7 linked regions of the Oryzias latipes genome follow. The protein of the gene in region 1 purifies or fractionates together with the protein of each later gene. This does not show direct contact. Links are inferred from orthologs where the notes say so. Each region holds a gene or a part of one and is shown on either strand. Other genes may lie near its edges. The genes, in order: dvl2, dact1, vangl2, csnk1d, nedd4l, E3 ubiquitin-protein ligase Itchy and vangl1.

Evidence for each region.
Region 2: the proteins of dvl2 (region 1) and dact1 purify together in Homo sapiens (affinity purification with western blotting; 3 studies listed by BioGRID and IntAct, with this or other methods). This does not show direct contact. The link is inferred for Oryzias latipes from reciprocal best matches to the Homo sapiens genes DVL2 and DACT1.
Region 3: the proteins of dvl2 (region 1) and vangl2 purify together in Homo sapiens (affinity purification with mass spectrometry; 4 studies listed by BioGRID and IntAct, with this or other methods). This does not show direct contact. The link is inferred for Oryzias latipes from reciprocal best matches to the Homo sapiens genes DVL2 and VANGL2.
Region 4: the proteins of dvl2 (region 1) and csnk1d purify together in Homo sapiens (affinity purification with mass spectrometry; 3 studies listed by BioGRID and IntAct, with this or other methods). This does not show direct contact. The link is inferred for Oryzias latipes from reciprocal best matches to the Homo sapiens genes DVL2 and CSNK1D.
Region 5: the proteins of dvl2 (region 1) and nedd4l purify together in Homo sapiens (affinity purification with mass spectrometry; 4 studies listed by BioGRID and IntAct, with this or other methods). This does not show direct contact. The link is inferred for Oryzias latipes from reciprocal best matches to the Homo sapiens genes DVL2 and NEDD4L.
Region 6: the proteins of dvl2 (region 1) and E3 ubiquitin-protein ligase Itchy purify together in Homo sapiens (affinity purification with western blotting; 4 studies listed by BioGRID and IntAct, with this or other methods). This does not show direct contact. The link is inferred for Oryzias latipes from reciprocal best matches to the Homo sapiens genes DVL2 and ITCH.
Region 7: the proteins of dvl2 (region 1) and vangl1 purify together in Homo sapiens (affinity purification with mass spectrometry; 4 studies listed by BioGRID and IntAct, with this or other methods). This does not show direct contact. The link is inferred for Oryzias latipes from reciprocal best matches to the Homo sapiens genes DVL2 and VANGL1.

What each region holds. Positions count from the first base shown.
Region 1 is NC_019876.2:14,950,398-14,953,897, forward strand, and holds part of dvl2 (segment polarity protein dishevelled homolog DVL-2), read left to right. Parts: intron 1-1,593; coding exon 1,594-1,770; intron 1,771-1,980; coding exon 1,981-2,205; intron 2,206-3,500.
Region 2 is NC_019880.2:2,437,629-2,441,658, forward strand, and holds the start of dact1 (dapper homolog 1), read right to left. Parts: upstream 2,801-4,030; 5' UTR 2,619-2,800; coding exon 2,052-2,618; intron 1-2,051.
Region 3 is NC_019875.2:3,190,949-3,194,448, forward strand, and holds part of vangl2 (vang-like protein 2), read right to left. Parts: coding exon 3,403-3,500; intron 2,173-3,402; coding exon 1,565-2,172; intron 1-1,564. UniProt on the Homo sapiens protein: Involved in the control of early morphogenesis and patterning of both axial midline structures and the development of neural plate. Plays a role in the regulation of planar cell polarity, particularly in the orientation of stereociliary bundles in the cochlea.
Region 4 is NC_019866.2:24,949,525-24,953,024, reverse strand, and holds the end of csnk1d (casein kinase I), read left to right. Parts: coding exon 1-151; intron 152-232; coding exon 233-403; intron 404-486; coding exon 487-635; intron 636-871; coding exon 872-1,040; intron 1,041-1,454; coding exon 1,455-1,567; intron 1,568-1,652; coding exon 1,653-1,703; 3' UTR 1,704-3,391; downstream 3,392-3,500. UniProt on the Homo sapiens protein: Essential serine/threonine-protein kinase that regulates diverse cellular growth and survival processes including Wnt signaling, DNA repair and circadian rhythms. It can phosphorylate a large number of proteins.
Region 5 is NC_019870.2:9,923,245-9,927,241, reverse strand, and holds the start of nedd4l (E3 ubiquitin-protein ligase NEDD4-like), read right to left. Parts: upstream 2,801-3,997; 5' UTR 2,683-2,800; coding exon 1,585-2,682; intron 1-1,584. UniProt on the Homo sapiens protein: E3 ubiquitin-protein ligase that mediates the polyubiquitination of lysine and cysteine residues on target proteins and is thereby implicated in the regulation of various signaling pathways including autophagy, innate immunity or DNA repair.
Region 6 is NC_019865.2:2,030,875-2,035,098, forward strand, and holds the start of E3 ubiquitin-protein ligase Itchy, read right to left. Parts: upstream 2,801-4,224; 5' UTR 2,655-2,800; intron 408-2,654; 5' UTR 386-407; coding exon 316-385; intron 1-315. UniProt on the Homo sapiens protein: Acts as an Acts as an E3 ubiquitin-protein ligase which accepts ubiquitin from an E2 ubiquitin-conjugating enzyme in the form of a thioester and then directly transfers the ubiquitin to targeted substrates.
Region 7 is NC_019860.2:16,731,598-16,735,097, forward strand, and holds part of vangl1 (vang-like protein 1), read right to left. Parts: intron 1,185-3,500; coding exon 753-1,184; intron 423-752; coding exon 247-422; intron 1-246.

The sequences.
Region 1 (3,500 bases):
CAGTGAACTCTCCGGGCTTCCAGGACTTTACAGGGTTTCCATTATACTCACTGGATTAAAACCCTGTGACTTGTGTGACAGGGGGATTGGGGGTGGGGTGGGGGGGTGGTCCAGATAACATCTGTTTAATTGAGATCATCTGCATCTGAATCACAAGCAGTATTCAGAAGTCTGTCCAAGTTTTTCTTTTTCTTTCTTTTTTTTTTACTTCTGCTCTACTTTTTGTTGTTTTATTTAAAAGCTTTAATAATGTTTTAATAATAATCCATTTTATTTAGAAGCGCCTTTCAAGAAACCCAACCTGTATAAAACAAAGGTTAAAATAATCATTAAAAGCACAATAAATAGAAATAGTCAAAAAATCTAAAGTGAATCAAGATGAGAAGGCAGAAATAAACAGATGAGTTTTGATTAGAAAGTTTGTAAAGAGTCTATGTTACGGAGGTCGGGAGGTCAGGAGGGAGCTGAGCAGCTGAAGGCTCAGGTTCCCATGGTAACAAGTCGAGCCGGAGGAACAGAGAGCTGGACAGAGGAGGAGAACCGAAAAGAACGAGAGGGCGTTTTGATCTGCAGTAGGTCGGAAAGATGAGGGGGGGCCAGTTTTGGCTGCAGACTTTAGACTTCCACGGGCGTATTTACTTTATCACTGTCAGATCTATTAACACCTGTGGATTACTGTTGGGATATCTGAAAGCCAAATGGTGACAAAAAACAGATGAAATGACACGTTTGTGTAGTAAAAACCCCAAAAATTCAATTTAAAGTCTTAACAAAAAGTTATTCGGAAAGATTGATGCAGGTCGTTTACAATTTAAAAACACAAAGTTAATTACATTATAGAATAATAATGTAGAGAACATTACTATAAAGCTGGTTTATGGTTTAGTCACAACTGCCCTTACTGTTTGATCTGTCCCGCATTAGTCAGAGGAGGGGAAAAACTTTAAATTAAGAATAAAATAAAAATAAGAAACAAATTTACTGTCCCATACAAATGAGAAAAATAAACTTCATGAGTAGAATTGTCAAATTCTCCATGCTGGTTTTGGACCCACTGATCAAATCAATAACGCGTCACGGGCCACAGCTGAGTCTCTGATTGGTTGATGGACACAAATTCTTTACCAATGTTTAGATTTTGAAACATGGCGACACTCGAAACACGCTGCTGCTGCTGCTGGTAGATTGCTGCTTTGCGCCTGATGCTCAAAATGTGTGTCAGACGTCTGTTGGCTTCTGTTCAGTGACTTAACATTCAAACTGGACACACTAGTTGGGTTTGCGCCCCCCTTAAGATGCGCTCTGGTCTAAGGCCCTTCACGAGCCCAGACCCCCGCAGCACCCGCACACGCCAACCCCCATACGGGTGCATGGCTACGGTTCTAGATGTCTCCTGGAACCTGGTAAGGGTTATTTCAGACAGGCTCTGTCATCAGATTAGTCTTTCTGTTCAGAACGTGTTTGTTCCTCTTCCAGCAGTCACTTCTGCAACTATCCATCTCATTGAAGCATCTCGACCAGAAAGAAGATGTTTGGCATGAATGAACGTAATGAAAGGGAACTTTTTTTTCCCTTTTCTCTCCGTGTCTTCAGGCTCTGACGTAGTGGAGTGGCTCTTCCACCACATTGAAGGATTTCAGGACCGCCGGGAAGCCCGGAAGTACGCCAGCAACCTCCTGAAGGCCGGCTTCATTCGCCACACCGTCAACAAGATCACCTTCTCGGAGCAGTGCTACTACGTGTTCGGAGACCTGAGCGACTGCGAGAACTGTGAGTCGCCGGAGAACTCGACACATCAAAGGAACAACCTGCTTTCTTGTGGACTCCACACGGTTAAATTAAATAGATTTTGGAGGGGTTTCTTTAATGACGAGTAGAAAAGCATCGTCACGATGAAGCCCTTTTAAAAATGACGCGACACACAGAATGAACCCTATTGCAGACGAAGCATAAGTGGTTTACAGTTCCTGTCTTCCACAGACATGGCTAATCTGTCCCTGAACGACAACGACGGCTCCAGCGGCGCCTCCGACCAGGACACCCTGGCCCCCCTGCCCCTCCCGGGCGCCACTCCGTGGCCCATGATGCACACCTTTCCCTACCAGGCCTACCCCACCCACCCCTACTCCAGCCAGCCTCCTCCGTACCACGAACTCACCAGCTACAGCTACGCCCCCGGCAGCACCGGCAGCCAGCACAGCGAGGGTGAGCGCAGACTCGCCATATTTTCTCACAGCGCTCAAATACCTGCTGATTCAGTATTTGAAAGAGTTATTTTGGAAAGCCACATCCAACTCATTCTCGACGCATGTCAAGGTGCTCGGTTGACAATCCATCCGCTTAAAGCCACTGACTCAAGCTGGAAAAGGTAACAAATAAACGTATTTTGAAAGCCTTAGACTTCAAAATAAAAGCTGCATTTAACAGACAAAAACCTGGAGTCTTTTGCTCAAAATAAAAGTTACGGGAAACTAAAAATAGAAAAATCAGACCCCCATTTTGCCTGACGTGGAACCGATCTGTGACCTGAAAAAGTTCAGAGACCGCCAGGTTAAAACTTGCGGTTTATTGTAAGGAGCAGGTCTGTTGAGCAAATTTACACCAGAACTGTTTGCTTCGTTCCGCAAAAGCTCTTCTGAACTCTGCAAAACAGAGTTCGGGTCGGCAGGCAAGTGTAACCCGGGGCAGTTCACTACAGTGTGAACACGAATGAGACTCCAGACGGGAAGCAAAAAGAAGAGGTGACGTGAGCGCTGTGGCAACTGTGGGGAAAAATGACCGGTAAGTGAGGTAAAAGGAAAAAAAAGTAGGAACAAAAGAAGTGCTAATATTCAACATTTCTTTCCTCCCTCTTTAGGGAGGAGGGAGAAAATAGGTAACATAAAGAAAATTATGATAACTGGGCGGGGTCAAGGTTGGCCACACAGCCGTTTATTTGGTGACACATAAAAATCAAAGGGAACTAAAGGAAAATAACCAAAAAAACACCAAAGGGGGGATAAATAATGGTATAAATAAAATTCTCAGGCTTTATAGCAAGACACCAAAGACAGAAATACAAAACTCCAAATGACTCATAATGCAAACAAAAGGCCACAGTAGTAAATGTAACAGAAGGACAAAACCAGATTCAAACTAAGAGGGAAACTAGAGGCTTTCAAAGGCAAAGGCCAGGCAGACAGCAGGGGCAAGCTGAAGAACGAATTCCCACCCAGGAATGCAGCCGCCACTGGAGCAAAGGATCCTGGGAGCTTTTAAAGCTTCCCTCCAAGCCAGGCGATTGGTAGCAGCCTCAATCAGCTCTGCAGAGGGGGCGGAGTCAGCAGCTGTGCAGGAGCAGACTTCTACAGGAGCAAGAGCACATACACACACAAACAAGCAGACAACTACCAGGGATCCTAGCACCGAGTCTAAATGCACCTTTAGAGCGTTAAATAAACCCAAACTTCATATCTTAGACTACATACAGGCATGTCATGCGCATTCAAGATGGCGCTGAA
Region 2 (4,030 bases), on another chromosome or scaffold:
CTAAGGGACAAAAATGGCAAATGTTTTACAACATTTTCAACAAAGTTTTGTGATGTTTTTGATTTTAAAAAATTAAACACAATTGTGGTTTTTAAGCGTCAAAGAGAACTAGACGCTCTTTCCAGCTGCAGTCCATCTGCTCATGTTCCTCACTCCAAGAACAAAGAGGCAAACTTTTGAATGACGAAGATTAGACATGAAACAGAAGAATACTGTTCTGTAACTTATCTCGTCTTCTCTTGAGGGAGTTTTTCCAGTTTGTTGTTTCAGTTGTGAAAACATCAAAAGTGCGTTTATACTGAAAGCACATTTTCACGCAGACCCACGAACAGAAATGACTCCAACATGGGATGAACTTTATTCATCTCCGCAGCTGAAGGTCCTTATAAGGTAACAAGCATAGGGACACACAAACGCACACACACACACACACACACACCCACACACACACACACAATCTGTTGCTCTCGCAGGATGGAAAACATGTGGGTTATGCGGCGCCACATTCCAGAGCTGAAACTGGCCACTGATGCTGATCATGTGACCAGAACAGCCGAGCTCAGCTGTAGTCTGTATGTGCGTTTATATCTGTTTACGACTGTGTGTTTTTGTGTGGTTACATCTGTTTGTTTGTGTTTGTTTACAACTGTTTGTGTCTGTTTACATCTGTTTGTGTGTGTTTACGCCTGTTTGTTTGCGTGTTTTTACTTCAGAGTGTATTTATGACTGTTTGTGTGTAAGGGTTTGTTTGTGTTAACATCTTTTTGTTTGTGGTTATAACTGTTTGTTTGGGTTTATGTCTGTCTGATTCTGTGTGTTTGCGTCTGTTTGTGTGTTAATGTGCATTTGTGGTAACATCTGTTTGTTTGTGGTTATATTTTTGTGTGCGTTACGACTGTTTGGGTGTTTACAACTTTTATTTTTGTCTGTGTTTACATACGTCTGTCTCTTTGTATGTTTACTTCTGTTTGTGTTTACTTCTGTGTTTATATCTGTTTGGTTGTTATTTGTTTGTTTCTGTTGTGTTCACCTGTTTATACTTGTTCATCTTTTCATGTTTGCTTGAACATGTGTGTTTGTTTGTGTGTTTTAGTTTGTGTATATGTGTTTGTCTACAGGTTTATGTTTGTTTGTGTGTCCCGCTCCTGTAAACAACCTGAAGCTATAATCTTTGATCAGTTTTGAAATCTGTTCTGTGGAGGTCAGCTGACCACACTCTGTCAGGCCCCGCCCACTTACCGTAAGTGGTTTTCTGGTCTCTTACTGAGACATCATCCTCATCTTCAGAAAGCAGCAGAATGAAGAGCCTAAAGCCCCTTTTCTGTCACTTTCTAAGCTCCATCCTGAAATTTCTGCTGGGTTCTCCAAGAGTGGTTCTGGTTGGGTTCTGCAGAGGAGCAGCATTGGACCCTTGAGACCGCACAGTCATGCAGATTCAGTTAAATCTGCTTGTGACTCTTGTTTGTGTTTAGCAGTTTCCATCTGAGGCTGCAGGACTTCGGTTTAAGGTTTTTGCTGGTGGAACACCGGGATGGATCCTGACAGGAATCTGAGCTCAGCATCACACCAGCTGGAGCTCTTTTTCTCATGAAACGTTCCTGTTGCCACCTGATGTTCTGAGACACAGAAGAATCCAAGACTGCACGATTATCTTTAGGTCTGATCATCGAGCATCTAGAAGTCCTTCAGCAGGGATTAAAAAAAGAAGAAAACCAAATAAACTGAACAAGATTTGGAACTCTGGAGCCACAGCAGAAGATCAGATGATGCAACATCTGATTTTCACTTGGTAGGACCTTCATGACAGCAGAATAAAGATCTGTAGAAACCTGAACTCATCCATCACGTCTTGCCCTTGTGGGCCAAAATCATTTCTGAAGAGATCTGCAGCCGACGGAAAGACTGAAAGGCTAAATCTGCAGAACCAGAATCAGAAATCTACACCTGATAAGAGGAAATCATCAGACTTCATCAGACTTTGCTCTGGTTTCACGCATTCCTCGACATGGATAGTTGGGGGGGGGGGGGGGGGGGGGGGGGTCAGGACCTACCAGCTGCCTCCTGAGCACCAGGATGTTCTCCTCGGGACTCAGCTGGGCCTCCCGATCCCCGGGCTTCTCCAGAGCGGTTCGGATGAGCACCTGCTGCCGCTGCCGCATGCTCTCCAGCTCGCTGAGCCCAAACACCACCGCGTCCAGCCGCTCCCGCACGGAGCGCAGCCGCTCCGCCGCGTCCGCCCTGTGACTGTCCCGCCTGCAGGCGCTGCTGAGCGGCATCTCCTCTGCGGCGACGGGGGCTCTCTGCGGCATCAGGTTCCGAATGACCCGGCAGGCATCACGCAAAAGCACCCGCTGACCCGCACCTGCGGGAACGAAGCGTGGGCGGCGGGCACAGAGATCCAGACACCCCGGAGTTGCAATGAAAAAGGGTGGTTCAGCGGTCCAGCGGCGGGATTCGGGTCCACATGGATGTGAGGATCCGGACCTGTTCGGGCCAGCGGTTCGGAGATCCAGCAGAGTCTCCCCAAAACCCGCTGCTGCCTCTGGAGCTCCCAGAACACTGAGCCAGAGCCGCTGCAGCGCAACAAAACCCCGCCCCTCGAGACCACGCCCCTTCATCGAGCCAAGCACACCGCCATGAGTGACGTCAGCTCGAAATAGATTCTTCCTATTGACTCCTTCAAAATAAAACAACCTAAACTAAATCCACTAAAAACACAAAATTCCAACGACATAACAAAGAAAAGGAGCATGAGAAGTAAGATTTAAAGGTCATTCATTGAACTTCCTCTCATTTCCATTAAAATAACAGATAAAGGTAATCCTAACGTATTATTAGTGACAGTAATTTGATTCTAATTTTAATACATATGTAATCTCAAAATATAGAAAAAAATTTAGGATTAAATTTCACATCACAATATTTCAGATCAAGTCTCAGATTTCCAAACTTTTGTTAAATATTGATGAAAACAGTTGTAAAATATTGAGAAATATTGATTGTAATTAGATTAAATTCAAATAGCAACAAATACAAAACATTTTGATGATACATTTAGTAGTATTCATCATTTGTGTGAAATAATATTTTCACTTTTCATATCTGGACCTTCAAAGTGACAGAAATTGTGTTTATTTTTCAGCACAACTACACTTGTTTGTGGTAGTAAAATCAACTGTTTATATTTCAAGCCAACGTTTTTATAATGTTCCAAGCTGTTCTATAGACTTCCTCTTCATTTTTGGTTCAGTGGTTTGTACTTGCACTGCACTTTTCACCTTCTTCCAGGTACAGAGCGGTTTACGAAAGCCACACATTTATTCACTGATGGCTGTATGATGGCGGAAGGCAAACCACTCGCCAGGCCGCTGAGAGCGAGGAGGGATTCAGTGTCGTTCTTAGGAACTCTGTGACAAAGATCAGGAACAGAAGCCTCCATTATGCAATAGAGGTCAACCGCTACACCTCTGCACCACAGCAGCAGCAGGATTTGTTCTGAAAAAGCAAACATTTTGACCAAACATTTATGTTCTAGATTTCTTTATAAAACTGGGCCAAAAATGTCCAGAATTTCTGTGGGAAGTTCCAACTTTTCTAAAACTGTTTCTGTTTTGGTTTTATCAGAATTTACATAACTTTTAGAAAATCATCTGTCACATAATCTGCAAACTTGGAAAATCTAAAATTCTTTATTCTAACCTTTATTGTGAAAGGAAGAGTAGTTTTTACTTTTTTAGCATGACACCTCTTTTCTGGGGTCCTAAAGCCCTCCAGGTTCTGTTTGATCCCAGACTCCGTTTTGTTTACCTGTAAAACCTGAGTTCTCCTTGAATTATTTTTAAAAATCGGATAGATGTTTGCTACAAGAACAACTAAAGCAGTTTCAAGAAAATAAACATTTTATTCATTTCTGCATTTAATGAGGCGGTGATAACAACAGCTCAGATGGGGAAAAAAAGGTGAGCTGGATCAGGCTTCAGGTAAACCAGAAGCCAAAATCTGACCCAGTATTCCACGTACAAAATAAAAG
Region 3 (3,500 bases), on another chromosome or scaffold:
CAACACAGAAGAAGTCTGATCAGCAGGTGGATTCCAAAGTCAAAACGGAGGGAAATCTAATCATTGTCCTCCTGAACTTCATGAAACACTTCTTTTCTTGCTTTGAGACATTATTATTTATATTTTTGCCCCTCCTGGGACCAATGTGGGACAGCAAATTGTCAAACTGGGTCACAGGGAAGCAGAAGTAGCGCTGACAGCAGCCGTTGTTGGTACCAAAAGTATCCGGCCTGCAATAACTGTTCGTGGTCCTGCGATTGATGATGATGTCACATTATGTGATTGGCTATACGTTGGTCAGATGACGTTTAATGATTGGTCCGCAAGTTTACACGCCAACACCGTTATCCGTGAGAAACATGGATGACTTGTCCATGAAGATCTCCCCCCATGTATCACAAGGGACTTTCAGCGTATCTTCTGTGGCCAGCTGTGGAGACCAGCAGAAAACTGGATTCAAGACATTTAGCATTTGTTTTAGTGCTAATGCTTTGTTTTTTGGTTGGTTGTTTGTTTCAATAACTTGAATAATACATAAAATTTAACATAAAAATATGGTGTTTGTGCTGTTTTTTTTGTAATTAGTATATTAATGCTTTCAATGTGTTTAAAAAAGAAAGAAATGTAAACTTTTAGGCCAATTAAACCAGACAGTACACCATAAATAAATATTGTTTCTCATACAGTCATTTACTCACGTTGGAAAAATAAGTTTATATTGCCAATGTGTCTCTCTATTATAGATCTGGTGTAACAAACAATTATGTCAGACACACCTTAAAATTCAAAATAGCATTTTTAGTTATGAGGGAAAGAATTTATATAGAGCCCTAGCAGATCTAGACCCTACGTAACTATGTAGTTTGTCCAAGCAGTGTTACCGTAGTGACGTCATCATTGGTGGCAGGACCACGAACCGTTATTGCAGGTGGAATACTTTTGGTACCTACACCGTATTTCTGACGCAGCTCCTGCAGAAGACGATGAAGATGAACCGGGAGAGTCTCTGAATGATCTCATGAACCCAGACGGGATTACAGATGTTTGTTTAAATCAACCTGATCTCTCAACATCATTCAGGTCTTCCATGCATGAAATATACAGTCCATGCTTCCATGTAGAGATGATGGTAGCTCCTCCCACATGCGGCCAGGTGTCTCGTTTAACTCTTGTGCTATCTTGTGGGGTCCTGATGAGCCCACTCCCAACGTTAACGTGTCTCCAAATTAACGTTGGGAGTGGGCTCATGAGGACCCCACAAGATAACACAAGGGTCAAGAAACACGCTTTTGGACAAGCGTCGAGCAGCAAATTTGATGAGCTCGGTGTGAACACAGAGTCACACCGAGCTCTGTGGGGTTGTTTACTTCTCTCTCAAAAGTGAGACTCGTATATGATTTTTTTCTTTTCTTTTTTGCCTTTTTTGGGCGGGTGCGACTTATAGTTTGGAAAATACAACAACTGCAAATGTGCTACTGAGAGTAAAACTAGTGATTTCAACACAGAGCGGCAATGATTCAGCTGTAAACTTCCAGGAAGTGGGAACCGTGAGTCCACAACAAACCTGAGGTGGCCCACATTGTAGAATTTGCTGGCTCCATCTGCGGTCCGGACCACCTTAAGACAGAAGGCTGGCTGCAGGTGTCGGACTTCCAATAACACCAAAGCCAGGTACTGGATGAAGAGGAGGGCGTCCACAAGGGAGGCGGCGTACTCCACGATGCCCCTGTAGTCCCTCTCCCTGGGCTCCAGCACTCGCACGCCATAGAACAACCAGTAGGACGCCACGAACAGGAACACCAGCACCATGAGCAAGCAGCGGAAGACGAAAAACCGAGGCAGGGTGGCGCGGGGAGGACGGAGGAACAACGCCCATGAGGAGATGAGGAGAACAAGGAGCTTGAAGGCGAGCGAGACGTAGAGGCCTTCGCAGGGCGTCCCGCAGACCTCAAGGTCGTCGCGCCACAGGACCTGAGGGAGGATGAGGAAGGCTAGAGGCGTGATCAGAGCGAAGAAGCTCAGGCAGCCTCCCAGCACCGGGCCAATAAAACGCTTGCACTGCAGAGGGGTGGAGTCTTCCAAATCTTTGGTGGCGCGGGTCAGGTCCTCATTTGAGATGCTGTGTTCAGAGGTGCCTGTGACCACAGTGGTCGTCTCCCCCCAGTTATCGTCCTGAAGATGAATAGCAAAGGACAAAAAAACATGTCAAACGTGTTCAAATCCTTCAAAAAGGGAAATTTTACTCCATTTTTGTCTGTGAAAACAGGCCTTCCAGTAAGCACGCGGGTTTGGAATTTAAGCACGCTGAATCAAATCTGCAATAAATCCTTTTTCTATCAAGAAAACCCAGGAGTGTTTCTATAGAGATCCTTTTTAAAGCATTTTGAAACAGTCTAATCCCCACTTTCAGTCACAAATGTCCTTAATCGTCTCGAAACCTTTAGAAGGAATAATGCTCTTTAGTGTCATGCCAGTAATGGTGACAGCTTGGCTTACCGCGGACACCGACAGCCCTTCACTATTTACTCAAAGAGCCCCTCTTTGCTTTAGCGTGTCTCCTCTGCCTCCTCAAAGACAGCCGCTCTCTGGTGTTAAGCTGAAGGCTCTCAAGTCTTTGAGGAGAACACAAATGTCAACACCTGCTCTTTGCCCGCTGACAGGATTCAAACAAAACCACCAACTGCTCCGATGAAACACAACTGAGCTGTTGAGAGAGGGCGAGGGCCCACTTAGAGAGAGAAAAGGCAACATCTGCTGGGTCAGTGGGAATCAATCCACGACACCTCCTCTGTTAAAACAGCTGGGAGGTCCCCATTCCTTCACCGTGGACTAGAGACGGGGAACTCTCTGCTTACCTGGACTGACGTCTCTGCATTAACAGCAACTAGTACAAAAGCCTAACCAGTGGTTAATGTTGGGAATAATTCTGTTTAAAGGGTCTTTATGATGCAAAGTCAACTTTTTGAGCTTTTAAGTGTATTATTATGTTCATTCCTCACAGAAAACAACCCAAAGTGGTATTTTGATCCATTCACGCATGTGTGAGCATTCCTCTAAAAACCTGCTCTCTGAACACCAGCCCCTCCCAATCCACCAAAACGAGTGGGCTCTCACAGTGTGACATCACAAAGGGAGGAACAGCCCCTTCCAGGAAGAGTCTGTGCTACCAGCTCCGCCCCCAGACTAACACACACGCCCACTTTCTGTGTGGAGCTAGCGGTGATGGGCTAAATGCTTTAACTTTATCTGCACAATATGCACATCCATCTCTGCAAAAGTTGGGATGCTGTTGGATATTTTCTTTAGTGTGCCAAAGGTAATATCTGCTCATGTAGTTGACTCTGAAAGGCTTGAGAAAAGCATGACATGGGCCCTTCAGAGGGAAACGTCAGAGCCGCTGACCCGGTCATCTCCACGGGTGGACTCTGCATCCAGAAGCGGCTCTCCCGGAGTTTGGATGGTGACCGATTTGTCTCCACGACTGCTGCTGTCCCTGCTCT
Region 4 (3,500 bases), on another chromosome or scaffold:
GGCAAGAAGGGAAACCTGGTCTACATCATCGACTTCGGTCTGGCTAAGAAGTACCGTGACGCGCGCACACACCAGCACATCCCCTACCGCGAGAACAAGAACCTGACCGGCACCGCCCGCTACGCCTCCATCAACACACATCTGGGAATCGGTAAGAGCAGTTCAGGCGGAGGCGGGGCCAGTCGTTCTTCTGCAGCCGGCAGACTCTGATGTTCCACCTCCTGTTTTCCAGAACAGTCCAGGCGTGACGACCTGGAGTCGCTGGGATACGTCCTCATGTACTTCAACCTGGGTTCCCTCCCCTGGCAAGGCCTGAAAGCTGCAACCAAGAGGCAAAAGTATGAGCGCATCAGTGAGAAGAAGATGTCCACGCCCATTGAGGTCCTCTGCAAAGGCTACCCATGTAGGTCAAAGACAGCGGCGGCGTTTGAACCTCCTCTCCGTCTAGTCTGCCCTGTTCTCACCTCTGTTTTCCTCCCTCTGAAGCCGAGTTTGCCACCTACCTGAACTTCTGCCGCTCTCTGCGCTTTGACGATAAACCAGACTACTCGTACCTGCGGCAGCTCTTCAGGAACCTCTTCCACCGTCAAGGCTTCTCCTACGACTACGTCTTTGACTGGAACATGCTCAAGTTTGTAAGTCAGAGTGCTCTTCAACCCACACCACTCATTCAGGAGGTTTCCAAACATGTTTGGGTTTTAAACCTAGACTTGTTTTAATTTAAAGGTTTCAAAACATTAAGACAGACAGAAATGTAAGACACACACGTCCTCCGGAGCATCTGCTCCCATGGCGTCCTGGGATGTTGTTCGGCTCCTCTGAGCTCGTTTCGTGCCGTCGTTGACGCAAAGATGGATGACTGTCTCGTTAGGGAGCCAACAGAGCCGTGGAGGACGCCGAGAGGGAGCGGCGGGAGCGCGAGGACAGGCTGAGGCACGGCAGGAACCCCGCAGCCAGAGGGATGCCGTCCGGCTCCGGAAGAGCCAGGGCCCCCCAGGACGCTGCGGCCCCCTCCCCTCTCAACCCCGCCTCTCACACAGGTCAGAGCGCTTCGGAAGTCTGGTTTTCAGGCTCCGTGGGGTCAAAGGCCGGGCCGCTGCAGGTCTTCTAATGTTCTGTTTCCTTTTGTCAGTTATGGACATTAAAAAACAAAAAGTCAACTGAAAGCAGCAGCAGAAAAAGTCGGTGGATAAAGACTTTAATATTAAAACGGGTGTTTTTGATGACTTTCATAAAAAGCAGCTGCCCTCCATCTTCCTGTTTGTCATAGAACTGCTGTTTGCCTTCATCTGTAACCGACTGAAAGTTACAGTTACAATGTGAGGAAGAAGAGCGTCGCGTCCAGTGAAGGAAGCAGAAGCTGCTGCTGCTGCTGCTGCTGCTGCTGCTGCTGCTTTAGGGGACGGATGCTTTCATGTGCAGCTCACCAGGAATGTGTGCTGCTGCTCCTTTAGGCATGGAGAAGGAGAGGAAGGTGAGCATGCGTCTTCATCGTGGAGCCCCCGTCAACATCTCCTCCTCAGACCTGACGGGGCGCCAGGACACGTCCCGCATGTCCACCTCGCAGGTGAGGAGTCTGTCAAACCTTTCTGCTGACACCAGCAGACCTTCCCAGCAGAGCTCTGACCCTCACACCTGCGTCTGTCTCCCAGGCTCTGTCCCGGGTCACGCCCAGCGGGCTCCAGTCTGCAGCCCCTCGGTGAAACCCCCCCCTGCGTCCACCTGTCCACCACGGAGGCCTCAACTCGCACCGCCTGCAGCACGCACACTCGCTCACACTCCTCCGCACGGACTGCCAGAAGCCTCACGTGACGCCGAGGACCGCCAACCAGAGCACAAGAGCCCGGCTGTGCTTCTGTTCACTCGTGGAAGGAGACGCACAGTCGGGATGTTGTGTTTGTGTGTGTGTGTGTGTGGGAGACAAAGGGATGGGCAGGTGGAGCGGTTTGGTTGCCTTAACTACCATCTTGGCAAAGTAGCAGCCACAAAAACTCTTCTTCCTGTCTTGTGGAAGATGTGGAAATGCCTCCTCCTCCTCCCTTCTGGTGATGAAGCCATGGATTCATCCTCCTTTATGGTTTAACTTGTACTTTCTCTTCTCCTGAAGCGGCTGCTCGGCCTGGTAGCAGCCCGTGAAGGGAGCGTTAGCTGTGCCGCACGGCCGAGTGTCTTTGCTCCCTTCAGGTGGGACGGGCATGGAGAGAGCCTGTGCTGACCTCACATGCCCACAAAGTGACTTTGTCTTAATTTCTGAGTTGTGCCGCCGCTGTGGGACGCGACGGCTGCGGTCCGAGCGCCGGTTGTGACGCCACGTGGCGTTCAGGTCAGAAAACTGTGAATATGGCAGAGCGGCTGGTGTTTTTAGAGCCGTGTGTGTTTGTGTGTATTTATGTGCTTCTGTCTCAGAGTCTCACACTCTGGAAGGGGTGAGGGATCAGGGTGAGCAGGTTTTTTTTATTTAACCTTTGACCTTTTTTTGTACCTTCACCTGGGCCTGTATGGCGTCTCCGTCTGCTTCCTTTGGCGTCAGACAGGACCGGTTGGACTTTCCACACGGGTTGTTGCAGCCGTTGGTCTTGTGTGACGGGACTTTTCCAGATTCCTAACTTTATTTTTGAGAATCTGTCGCTGCTGCTCGTGTGAACAGCTCCGCCTCCAAATCGCTGTTAATGCGGTCAGTTTGTGTCGGATCCCGCTTAGATTTTTACTGAACCCAAGACTGTTATCCACCTTCACCTCAGTCACTACGGTTCTTTCTCTGGAGTCCCGACCCGAGGTCCTGGCGTCCGGATCAGGGGATGGCTTCGTGCTGCATTCAGGAACATCTCTGTGGAGGCGGCCCTGAATGTGACCCCAAAGGAAGCAGTTCTGAGCCTTCCCAGCTGTTGACCGATTGTAGACGCAGACGCCTCCTGGGCCGGATCTCCTGATCGGACCGGAACCCGCGGGGCTTTAAAGTAGAGATGTCTTTGTGTGATGAAGTGGTTGGTTTGTGTAGCTGAGGGGGTTGTAGTTGTGTTGTGGTGTGTAGGATGCATCGCCTGCTCTGTTCCACGTCCTCGGCAGCCGCTGCAGGAGCCTGACGTGTAGAGGGGGCGGGGGCGCCTCATTCCAGTAGACGCCATGCTGAGGCCGTGTCTGTAGTTTTCCTGAATAGATTTCACCTTGAAAACAACAATGTGATGATAGACGTGTGTGTCTCACTGATGTTGGATGTGAGAACACCGTTGCTCTGTCACCTCCCCCTGGAGGACGCTCCGGCCTGCGGAGGGAACGCCGTGGATCCACGGGAATCTCTTTTCACTCCCATCCCAGGACTCTGGCTCCTCATTTGTAATGCCACTGTATCTGTGCTTTTTTAATTGTGTAAATAAATTAATAAGTACTTGTACGTTTGCATTCTGTGGATTCATTCTGGTCTCCAAACACCTGCGGCGCTGTGAGAGCGTGGCGTCCTCCCTATGAAACTCCACAGAAACGGTGTTACCGTGGTAACCTCC
Region 5 (3,997 bases), on another chromosome or scaffold:
TTTAATAAAATTTTAAAATAACTACAAAAAGATGCAGAAACATGTCTGAATTACATCCAATTTTATAAATGATGTGGTCTAAACTTATAACCCATGACTCAGAATTGCACAGAAACGATGTTTGAAGTTAAATCTTAATCATAAAGATCCCCAATGGGAATTTTTATAAGCAGACTTGGAGTTTAATGATCCCCTTTTAATAAAACTGAGTCTGTGCACTAGTTCCCATAAGAGATATTATTTTTTATGTATATGGTTTGGCATTCATGTGCTGTGGGTTATACAGTATGGTATATCAAAAACATGGTTCAAATTCTGAGAGCTTGGCAAAAAGTATGGTATAAATAAAAATCTATAGATTACAAGTTACACTATGAGCGAATTTATCTCAAGTCCCTCTTATGGGAGATTAGGGGTGGAAAAGACAATATTAACATCAGCCTTTCTTTAAAAAAAACAGTATAGATTCCTAGCTATAGCCTAATAATTATATTTTAAACAATAAAATATGGTTCTTTAAACGTGTTTACCTTCTTTCTGTGTCACTACCTAATGGTACTCTTGGGGCATTAAACCAATGACTATGACTTAACACTAAAATGACTAAAACAGATGAAGCAGGTGGTTGTGTAATCTTTATTCTTTCTATTGGGAAAATGTTTAAGTGATTAAAGCTTTTGTTTTGACACTACAGTCGTGAAACTTTTGTCGACTGTTCGAAGGCTGGCAACAGGTTCTGTGGTCCAGAAGACACTGTTTTTTTTGTTTTGTTTTGTTTTTTGGTATTGGGAATGGTACGATGGGGAACAGCTCAAGTACAGTTTAAAATAAAGCTAAATAAAAGAGTTTAAAACAGTGATAGGGAAAGAGAGAGGGAGCTAAAAATACACCAACAAATATTTTTAGATCCTTTGGACTTTTAGCAAAATGAGGTATTGATGATTGCATTTCTTCATCCGTACTTGAAATGTAATGATATTTTAGATCTTAATCACTGGCAGTGCAGCTGCTGCTAGAATACAGATCCGTTCCAGTCTACAACCAGAGAAAAGACATTTCACTAAAATAAACACCCATGACTGAAATGATTTAAAGATGAAGGAATTAACTTGATAAAAAGCATTTCTTAAAATCACGATTATGATCAAAAATCTACATTTCAAATGTCTATAAAACAGAATGTAACAAATGAATTGTACATTTATCCAGATGCCTGTTACTCCTTTTCTTTCATAGCTGATTTGGCTCGTGTGCACAACTTCAAATGCCTGTGGTTGTGAAGAAAGAGCAAGTGTCTAATTCCGTTTAGAAACAACTCTGTGCTTTCTATACGGTTCCCAGCAAGTTACCACCCTCGTTCTGCATTGTAACAACATTTCCTGGTCTCTCACTAAGGTAAATAAACATCTTCAAACAGTGCTCACTGAAACACCAGATAAAAATCGTCCATTTTTCCACCATTAAAAAAAGGTCGGCATTTATTTATGCAAAAGTAAGGCTTTTTTATGTGAATTAAACAGCCTGTTGCAGTAAAAATACCAGAAACAAGCCATGGTCCAACTCAATAGCAAATTATTTCATTACCTTGGGATTATTTGTTGATTCTTTGCCAATATTAACTTCCTTATCTCCACCTCCACTCTGGGAAAAGTATATCTTGAAATGTGGTTGCCTTCTGGGGGCTTCCTCTTCAATTTTAAAAACACAACCATTCGACCCGTTTTTAGTTTCTGCCTCAACATAAGTTGGATTCTCCTCTATAGTCGGATATTCTGTTCCGCTTTCCAAGTGTTTATCCTCCAGCAAAAGACTTTGTTGGGATGAACTCCGGTGGAATCTAATTCTTGGATAACGCACTGTTTGTAATCCTCTAGTACTGCTTTGCCCAAAGTCTGAGCATTCTTCCTGATGGGAAGTTGACTCTTGTCGTCCCTGGTAGGTATTTTTCTGGTCTTGCTGGAGCTGAAATACTAGTCTTTGTGTTGTCCCATTAACATCAAAGCAGTGATCCAGGCTCTCCTGTTGGACAGACCAACCCGCACCACCGTTTGGAAGAATCCTAAAATGCTGGACATCAGAACCGTTAAGAGATTTTTTCTTAATACAAATAGTCCCAACACTATTACCAGGTTGGAATCTGTTGAAAGCAGCATGGCCCCTGGAACCAAGACAAAACACTCTGCGTTTGGGAAGGTTTGGCTCCATCAGACAAGACTGTATGTTTAAGGAATCTGGGCTGTAGTATGGAGGCGGTGGCTGTTGTGGAAGGTCAGCTCGAGTCCTTAGTTCAGTGTATGCAGGCGCAGGTCCTGGAGGAGTATAAGAGGGTGGTGGGACATCATCAACTCCGGTAGGCTCTCCGTTACTTGATTCACTTGAGCGATGAAGTGATATATGCATTGATGAGCTCTTAGTTGCACGTGGTTCGGCAAAAGCAGCAAGATGGGGTATGAACATCGAAGAGCTGCGTTTCAGCAAAGGCTCAGACTGTAAAGCAGAACTAGCTGAATGGACATTCTCCCCAGCTAACACTTGAGGTGGCCTTGACAGAAAAGGTGTGGGAGTGAAGACTACTGCAACCTCCTCACTGTCTTCCTGCTGTTCCTCCGAGTCTCCCTCCAGTATCTCTGGTGCTGTATTGCTGCGGCCAGATCCAAAGTACAAACGCAGACGTTGGGCCATTTTACTCTCCGTCCTCCAGCTCCAAAACCCCCACACTTTCTCCGACTGGTTTTAGGTTCTCCTCTCTCCTCGTGTCGCCCACTTCTTCTCTCACTGACTGGATAACTGATCCCCTTTTTCTTCCACCCACCTCGCCCTCCCCCTCCCAACTTCTCAGAGACTCTTCCACAACTTTCCCACTCAGTAAACTGTTCGCAGAAAACCAATTGCTCAACAGAAACATGGCAGTCACTCCAAAACAACTGACAGCATTTGAATAAAAGTAAAAAGAGGAGGAAGAGGAAAACCAGAAAGGAAGAGCAAGTAAAACTTTAAAAAAATTATATAGAAAGGGGATCCCTCTTTCCTTGGTAGCACTACCAAGCACTAGCGACAGACAGCAGAAATAGCCTTAGTCAAGTAACAGCCAGCATTCCTGACATGATTGGATAAGGGCCGCCTGGGCTCCTGGTTACTGAGGTGACAGTGGGGTGTCTGTGGGTCACGTGACTGTAACTGGCCCCCACCACCTCTTCTGGAAACCTCATATTGCCCTCAAGTGCCAAATACACCCCCCCTCAAGCTGCACCCAGCATACGCATGTGTGCGCTTCTCTGGTTTCATGATTAGTCATCACACAACTCTTTCCTTTCACAACAACTCCTAATAATGTTCTTTTTTAGGGTCGCATTAAACCTCTTCTTTAATACAACACTGCCACTAGAGCCAACTTTAAAAAAGTATTTTAGGCGGTGTAAATTACAGACACTGACCCAATTTATTTACAACAGACACTCGTATACCTTGATCTTTTAGTATATCACCTCAATGAGGGAAAGAATAGGAAAAAGAAAAGAAAAAATACAGCCACAAACAAACGATCCATATTTTACGTTTACTAGGATAACTTGTTATAAAAGAAGGTAAGCAGGTTCTTGCGAATACAATACAATTTAGAGATAACATTAAAGATGCAACTTTAAATTAGGACGGTAAAATGTTTCCTGTAATTAATTGCAGCTTGTACACACACAAAAAAAACAACCTGTGTAGACTGTTGCTAAAAATACATCACAGAAATGGCACAGAGAGGCCAAAATGGACTTTTCATGACAGCAGCTTTGATTCAACGAAAAGGATACTCCTTTGAGGAAAGATGGATCAGTTAGAAAAAGTCATTTCTTCCAACACACTTTCAACTACCTAAGTGGCTAATGGAATAATGGCCACATTGTTTTTCTCCCATAGCTGCCAGAGATTATTCGGCTCTAAACCTTGCCCTGAATTCCCATCCAGCGCCAAACCACAATGCAAATCACCAGTGTATTAGCATGCC
Region 6 (4,224 bases), on another chromosome or scaffold:
CTTCCTGCATAAAAAAAAATTCTCCAGACAAAACTCTCCTATGTTGGTTCAAACAGAGAACTGTGTTTTTTTTCTTAGCATAAGCTAGAGCTTCCTAACATGCTAGGAATGCAATAAATATGCATTATTGTAGCATAGCTGCGAACCTACAGCTGCGAAATAAAACCTAAACCTGAAAGCTAAAATTCCAGAAAGTTCCTTTGTTACATCATTTACACCTTTTAGTTTCAAAGTGTGACAAAAATCCAAGGAAAAAGAAAATAATTACACGTTCCTCTGTGTGTGTGTGCACTCCTGGCAAAAGTGAAAACCTACCATTAATTTGCAGCTGTGACTTGAGAGGGAAACCATTGGAAGTGCCTGACTTGGCGAGCCCACTGGCCATGACATAAGGATGAGAAGAGGCCCTGCAGCACCAAAAGAAATACTATTAGAACGCTTCCTGCAAGGACGATGAACATGTCTTTACATACAAAAGTCTTAGACTGGCAAACTAATATACTCCTGATTCTTTCTAAAAAGCATAATCCTGTCATTTAGCAAAGAATTATTTCTTCTCATGGCTTCCACTGGAATCTTTTTAGAATATATCCTGGAAGGATAAATGTGAGTGCAGGCTTGAGTTTACACTGCTCACACTCAGTATTTGCACCACAGTTGTAAACTTTGAGTCAAGTCCTTTAAAAAAAACAAAAAAAAACTTTTAACCAACAGTTTCTAAATTTGCTACGACATATGAAATATGAACACACGCTGACATTTGCATTCAAAACAGAAACTAAGCCAGAGTAACGGGAAGTTCAGATCCATAATATCAGGAATAAAATCCACAGGACTGAATGAACCTTTGAGGAGATAACAAAAAAAGAAGCTAAATGTGACTTTCTTGAACCAAAAATCAGCATCTTTAACTATAAAATAGAGGCAGGAAAATGTCCAAAGTATAATTAACTTTCAATTTGGTGATCAAATATCAAATTAAGAATTTGATTTGCATTATTTTATTTATTTTGTTTTTTTTGAGGACATCTGTCTAGTATGGAAAATATCCAGAGGATTTCAGATTGTGATGAACATTAAAAATGTGCTTATTGGACCCAGATGGTGTTTTTTATTACACTTTAAGAGCCGCTGTAAAGCAATATTTATGCTTGAATCTCACAGACGGGAATGTTCTTTTAGAAAAATGTTTGCCCAACAAACATATGAGCAAGACTAAATCAACAATGACGGCCTTACGCAGGTAAATAAAACACACGATCTGTGTTTCAGCATGGCCAGTTTCCTCCAAACATCTCTGAATAATAGATGGTCCTCAGTCTGTCCGGCCCAGTGACTCAGGGCAACATGGGAGAAAGTAAGGGGCTGATGGGTAAACTTTCACTTTGATCTTTGTCAATAATTTAATGCAACCACCGACTTTGTTGCATAGCAAGAAGACTGACCGTTCTGTCAATGAAGGTGTTTTCCAGATATTAAAATTAAATTCCAACTTGATTTGCTTTTCCATTTTTAACTATCTTTAATCCCTCACAGTCTGATAATTAACATTTGTCTCGCTGTGGATTCCTTACGTGTTACATCTATTTTTATTTTAAAACAAAATCTGCTTTTTATGTCGAAAAAAAAAGAAATCCCTTAGAAATACTAAACTTGTTAACCGTTCACGTCACAGACATACTACCGCCCCATGACTAACACTGTATCAGCAAAACAGGTATAATTACACACTATAGGAATCAGGGCGTTAATCTATGTGCTTACTCAAAATATAGTCCTTTTTAAAGACAACTATCAGACGACTCAATTCATTATAAAGAGAAATGGGGGGGGGGGGGGGGGGGGTCTGGGCCTGTCAACAAGGGGTATAAATATGAAGCACTAACAGCTCAGACACTTTGGTCACGCAATGAGTTAATAAGTGTCCAGCTAAACCTGCAATAAAGACACAGAGGAACACGCCTCGCCGGGTTGCTGATAACTGCTGCTCGCGATCAGGCCTTCTCCAGAGGCTCCACTGATCCTAAGAGGACCAATCTATCCTGCCAGAGGAGATTCACGACACTCCTGAGCAGAAGACATGTCCCATAATGTCAATAAGGACGCCTGACAGGCGCAGTCAGATCGGGCCTCGATCCAACAGCATTTTTTCTTTTACTGCTGATTCACCTTCCTAGGTGGTTATTCCGAGTGTCTAAAGGTAAAATGGTCTATCGATCCTCAGCGTAGGATACTAATAGGTTTTTAAATGTTGTTGCTACGCGGAAAAAACAAAACAAAAACTAATTTCTTTCACTAACATGTCCCACCCAGTGTGGCTAAACAAACCTTACACACATAATTTGCTCCAGCTGAAAGTGTACTGTTTAAGCTAACGCTAACATAGCCGAATTCCTTCACCAAAACGAGAAGGAAACAAACAAAGTGTATAGATGCTGAACATGGAGCGGCTACATTTGCATTGAAGCTGCAGTTGTTATGAACGTGTTGAATGTCAGCTGGACACAAACAACCTGATGCCATCCCACAGAGACGGCTACTAGCTGCTAACCTGTTAGCCTGACGCGGGCTAGCAGGCTGGAGACCCCAAAGTCAGGCAGTCACAGACGGAGAGAAAAGTCCTCTGATTTATCAGGTGAAATTTATCGTCTCACCTTAATCCAGAAGATGGTGTAACGCGCGGCGATCAGGTGGTAAATCCTCGCGGCTTTCGTCGTTGTCGTTTCAGTCAGCCTTCACTTTTAGGAAGTAGAAACTTCCACCATCTTCGTAAGCTCCTGTCACGTGACCGAAACAAGGCGGGGTGCATAGGGTGCGCTCTTCCCCCCTCTGCGCGGTGATTGGACCAGAGGAGTGACGTAGATGAAACGCGTAATCGTGCCTAAACCCATCTCCCTTCCAATCAATTCATAGGAATCTGTTTCTGTAATGTTTCTTTTGTAATACATGTACCATCCCCTGGCATTCACGTTGTTATGACTATTGATCTTGTCACACATATTTGTTGTATTTGTTTTGAACAATAAAGTTTAAAAAAAACAAAACATCTCCCTTATTTTAAATGATATAAATTGGAAAGAATTGCGTGGATCCTATTTTGTATAAATAACAAAATTAAAGAAATACATGAAAAACATTCTACATAACATTTACACCACAAATTTTCAAATATAGAAAATAATTGTCGTTTTTGTATTGATTTCCCCGAATCAGTTCTTCACCTTTTCTGCTTTTGTAAATTTTCCCGTGAATTTTGGAAACGCTTTGTAAACATCAAATTTAATTGTAACATTATTATAAACTTCAAACAAATGCTCACATATTTCAATTCTGATGATAAAAAAGTAGAAAATAGTATGTATTTGTTACTTCTCCAATCTAAATCTTACATACATAAGTGCAGAATAAAAAAAAGAAAACTCCTAATTTATACTATTTAAGATAGAGATGCTTCAGTTTTATGAATACATTAAAAAAATTAACACATCCAAAGAAAGTTACACTGGAACAATTTGTGTTTTCTTTTGTTTGATATGTAATCCCTGCCTCTAAGAAAACTTTGTATTGTAAACATTATTTTTTTTAATTCTCTTTTATATATTTTATGATACTTTATTTCTTATCAGCAAATTCTATTTTTGATACATTTCTGCTACAATTACTACTTGATGTGGATGAGTAAGTTTGGAATGATGGCATTTATTGTTGCTGCTGATGATCTGTTTGATTCCTTGATGTTGTGTTTTGTAATTTAATGTTATGTTCAATAAAGCTTAAAAAAACCCATCTCCCTTATTTACATTCAAGCATTATTGAAATATTACAAATACGAAAATTCAAATGTTTACATAGATTACTTAGACATATTAAAAAAATTCTTGTTCTTCATTTATATTAGTTTACATACATTTCCTTACATACATGAATCTCTGGTATGTTTAAATCTAAGCATTTATGTATGACCACATTTATGTGTGTATTTATACTTTTCCACATGAACATATGTATTGTTTGTTCATTTTTTATAATAATATGTTTTTCAAAAGGTACTCTTGGCAAAAAGTAGTGCACTTGAAGTTTATTTTATTAATTAATCATAATTGAGTATAAGTATAGCAGGTATACTATAGACAATGTACGTATGGTGTAGGAAGTATGACTGAATACTTCTTCAGGCTAAATTGACAACGTTTTTTGTTACCAATATATATTAAATAAAAGCTG
Region 7 (3,500 bases), on another chromosome or scaffold:
TATGCACAAAAGTCACGTCTGCTGAGGAAGATTAGCATCAGAAAATACTTCCTCACGTCTTTTCTTTTCATGACGGCAAACTTCTAGAGCACTGGAGTGGCATTAGAGGTTCAAAAACTCCTCCTGGAATAACCTGAGGAGCCCGTTTATCCTAGAGAATTTACAACTGACCCCAACCACAAAGCACTCTGGGAAGCACACGCAAGGAGTCAGAACTGAAAGGGTCTCGTCGCCGGGGATTCTCACCTGAGCTGTCCCAGGTTGTAGTGCCTCGTCTCGCCGTCTGTGGAGCGCGTGACGCATACGGAGAAGCATGGCTGAAGCTGGCGGAGCTCCAGCAGCACGATGGCCAGGTAGTGGATGAAGAGCAGGGCGTCCACAAGCGAGACGGCGTACTGAACGATGCCCTGGTAGTCTGCATCCTGCAAATGGGACAATATGACGCATGCAGCAAAGCACAAAATCAACGTTTTCAGAAGAAAAGAAAATAGACCCTGAAATGCTGGATACCCTAGGAACATAAATATTTAGAAACGTTTCAGAGAAAAAGCCTTTGGACCTCGTGTTTGTGTTTTCTTCAAGCATGCTGAAGCCACCAGAGTTTAAATTAGGTGTTTGGGTTGTGTTTTGTGATTTAGCGAGGCTCCCGAAGGCAGGAGAAATAAATCTGTGTGCATATAATGAGTGCTATCCCGCCTAATTAGCTTTTTTTGGGTTATTCAGTCAAGATTGTGGTTATTGTCTCCACACACCTGCGCTTCAAGTATCCGGACTGCGTAGAAGAGCCAATAGGAGATGACAAAGAGCAGCACCAGAACAGAGAGGAGGGCCCGAAACGCAAAGACCCGTGGGAGGCTTGCTCGCGGCGGCCTGAAGAAGAGTCCCCAGACGGCCAGCAGGAGGATGAGGAGCTTGAAGGCTATGGAGATGTAGAGGCCCTCGCAGGCCGTCCCGCAATTCTGCAGCTTGTCTGGCCAGAGGAGGTGGGGCAGCACCAGGAAGGCCAGCGGTGTGAGGAGCACCAGGACGCCCAGGATCACGGCCAAAATCCGGGTGAGGTAGCGACGACAGTTGAGCCCCACGCTGTCTTCCAGGTCCTTGGTGATGCGGACGATGTCCTCCTGGGACAGGCTGTGCTCGGACGTACCTGTGATGGCCGTGGTGGTCTCACCCCAGTTATCATCCTGGAAATACAAGGAGGACATATGATGCAAAAATAAAGGACCTTTTAATTCTGATAAGTTATCAATGTGTCTTTTCTTGAAGTAAAGTGAATTTTGTTTACAAAAACGGAAAGCGTGATAGGCATGCATTTAACTTAAGCAACTTGCTTGCAACCTTTGTGTAGAATAACTGGCTTTGACATCGAGAAACGCACAACAATATTATATACTTTCTGGAGCTCCAGTGTGCGATTTCTTTTAACCAATCACTACTGAAGCCGCAGACCAAAGAGATCCAGTTACCATGAATAACAATAAGTTGGAAGTCCCAGCTTTGAGTACCACATTCAGGCAAGGTTAACCACCACAGTAGGTAAGATGAACCACACAGGATGGAGCAAACAGGCCTTTTTAACCTTGTAACACAGGAGATGTCGCTGGAGACACCTAAATACCAAACAGTAACCCGCTTAACGCGATCAATGGGAGTCAGCTGATTCCTACGTGGAGAATAGTGGCTGTTCATATTGGCTTTGCACCAATAATGGCATCCGGCTGCTTTTCTTGGCGACCACCGACTGACGTTGATTGCCTAAACACTTCACTACTGTAAAGGGTTGCTTATCAGTGTAAAGCTGCTTTTGTCCCCTTCAAAACCCTCTGGAATTACCTTAGTTGGGTTGACCCATCCTGAACACTTAAAGAATTATGGTTGTCAAGACAAGAAAGGTGATCAACTCTCCATCACATGTTCATTAAAGTTCATCGCTTGTCCATTTTTAAGAGTTGTAGGGGTGTTGAAAATAGGTCAACAACTCAAAAGTATATTTTCATGGTTTGCATATTTTTGGTTAAGTGAAGAAAATATCTGAAAACTGACTGGCTTTTGGGTGTCAGCCGCCATCTTGGATTGCTGTTTTGCCTTCATGATCATCGCACACGTCACATGACTCAAGGCCCGTACACACCGGGACGAATATTCGCCAGGCGTTATTCGCCAGCGTTTTTTCGCCACGTTTTTTTGTGTTCACACCCAGGCAATTTTCGCTGTCGATGAGCCGAGTGAACATGCAATTTCATTCCCTGACATTAGATGGCGCTTAATGTAAACAGAAATACTCCTGTACACAAGGTGGCGCTGCGCAACTTTACGCTTCTTAAAGTCGCTTTTCACTCAGAAGAAGAGAGCAAGTATTTACGCGCTTGTCCGAATAATACAAAGAAAACATGAATATTTCAAGCACCAGTAGCTCCAACTGGTGCTTGGTTCGGGGATATTTTAGAATGTCCGTCATTATTTCTTCGCGGCTGTGTAGACGCTACTTGGCGTCTATCTTCTTCGCTGGTATGCGTGTTCAGCAAGGCAGTTTTGTGTTTGAGCGCCCCCAAGTTGTGTTTTACTGTAACTTCAGAAGCTCCAGACACGTGTGCAAAAGCGCCATTCTCATTGGTCGAATAGATTTCGACGCGAGGCGTCAAAAAAAAAAAACGAACCCGAGGCGTTTTTTTTGACGCTTTGACGCGTGGCGTTTTTTCGCGTCGGTGTGCACACTCTCATTGGTGCCCTTTGTTTAGTCACGAGGCGTTAAACGTGGGCGAAAATCGCCGGCGAAATTCGTACCGGTGTGAACGGGCCTTAAGAACTATCAAATGACATAGGGTAGTGCAGAAACCACAATAAGTTGCAACAATGGGTTCCTCCTTTAACAATGCTTCAGCAGCCAGAATATTAAAGACGCACAAAAAGCAAATCGCAGAGTTTACTTTCCCCCCACGGAAAATGGCGAGGAGAGGAAAAGGTCAGAGAGAGCGTTCCTGCATCCGTCGATAATGAATGTCAGCAGTGACGGAGCGGCACCGTTACAAAAACACAGATAAAGACTCTTTACATGACAGTCATAACAAGCTTGTAATGTGATAACAAAGCCGGCCATAAAAGGCCACATGACCAACAGTCATCAGCTGCAAGAAAATGCAATCAAAGATCTTTTCTTCTATCAGCCAAGAGCTATCCAGCTGAAATGAAGCCGTATTTAGGAATCACATCAGTGAGAAGAACCGCACACTGGCAGCAGGGGTTTATCAAGAGGATGCATTATGAACAGTACAGACAGGGGGTTTGGGAGGCGGAGGCGGAGGAGGAGGAGGAGGATGCACTGGAACAGAAAATCTCTCGGTAGCCTCCAGGTTTAAACCACAGAGCTGAAGCAGAACAATGGGAGGACACATGGAGCACAATCAAGTTAGGTTTTACCCCCCCAAAAAAGGTACAATTGTATCCAGAAGAGTGTTTATTAGTTCGAAATTCAAACGCAGACTTCTTTGTTTCTGAATTAT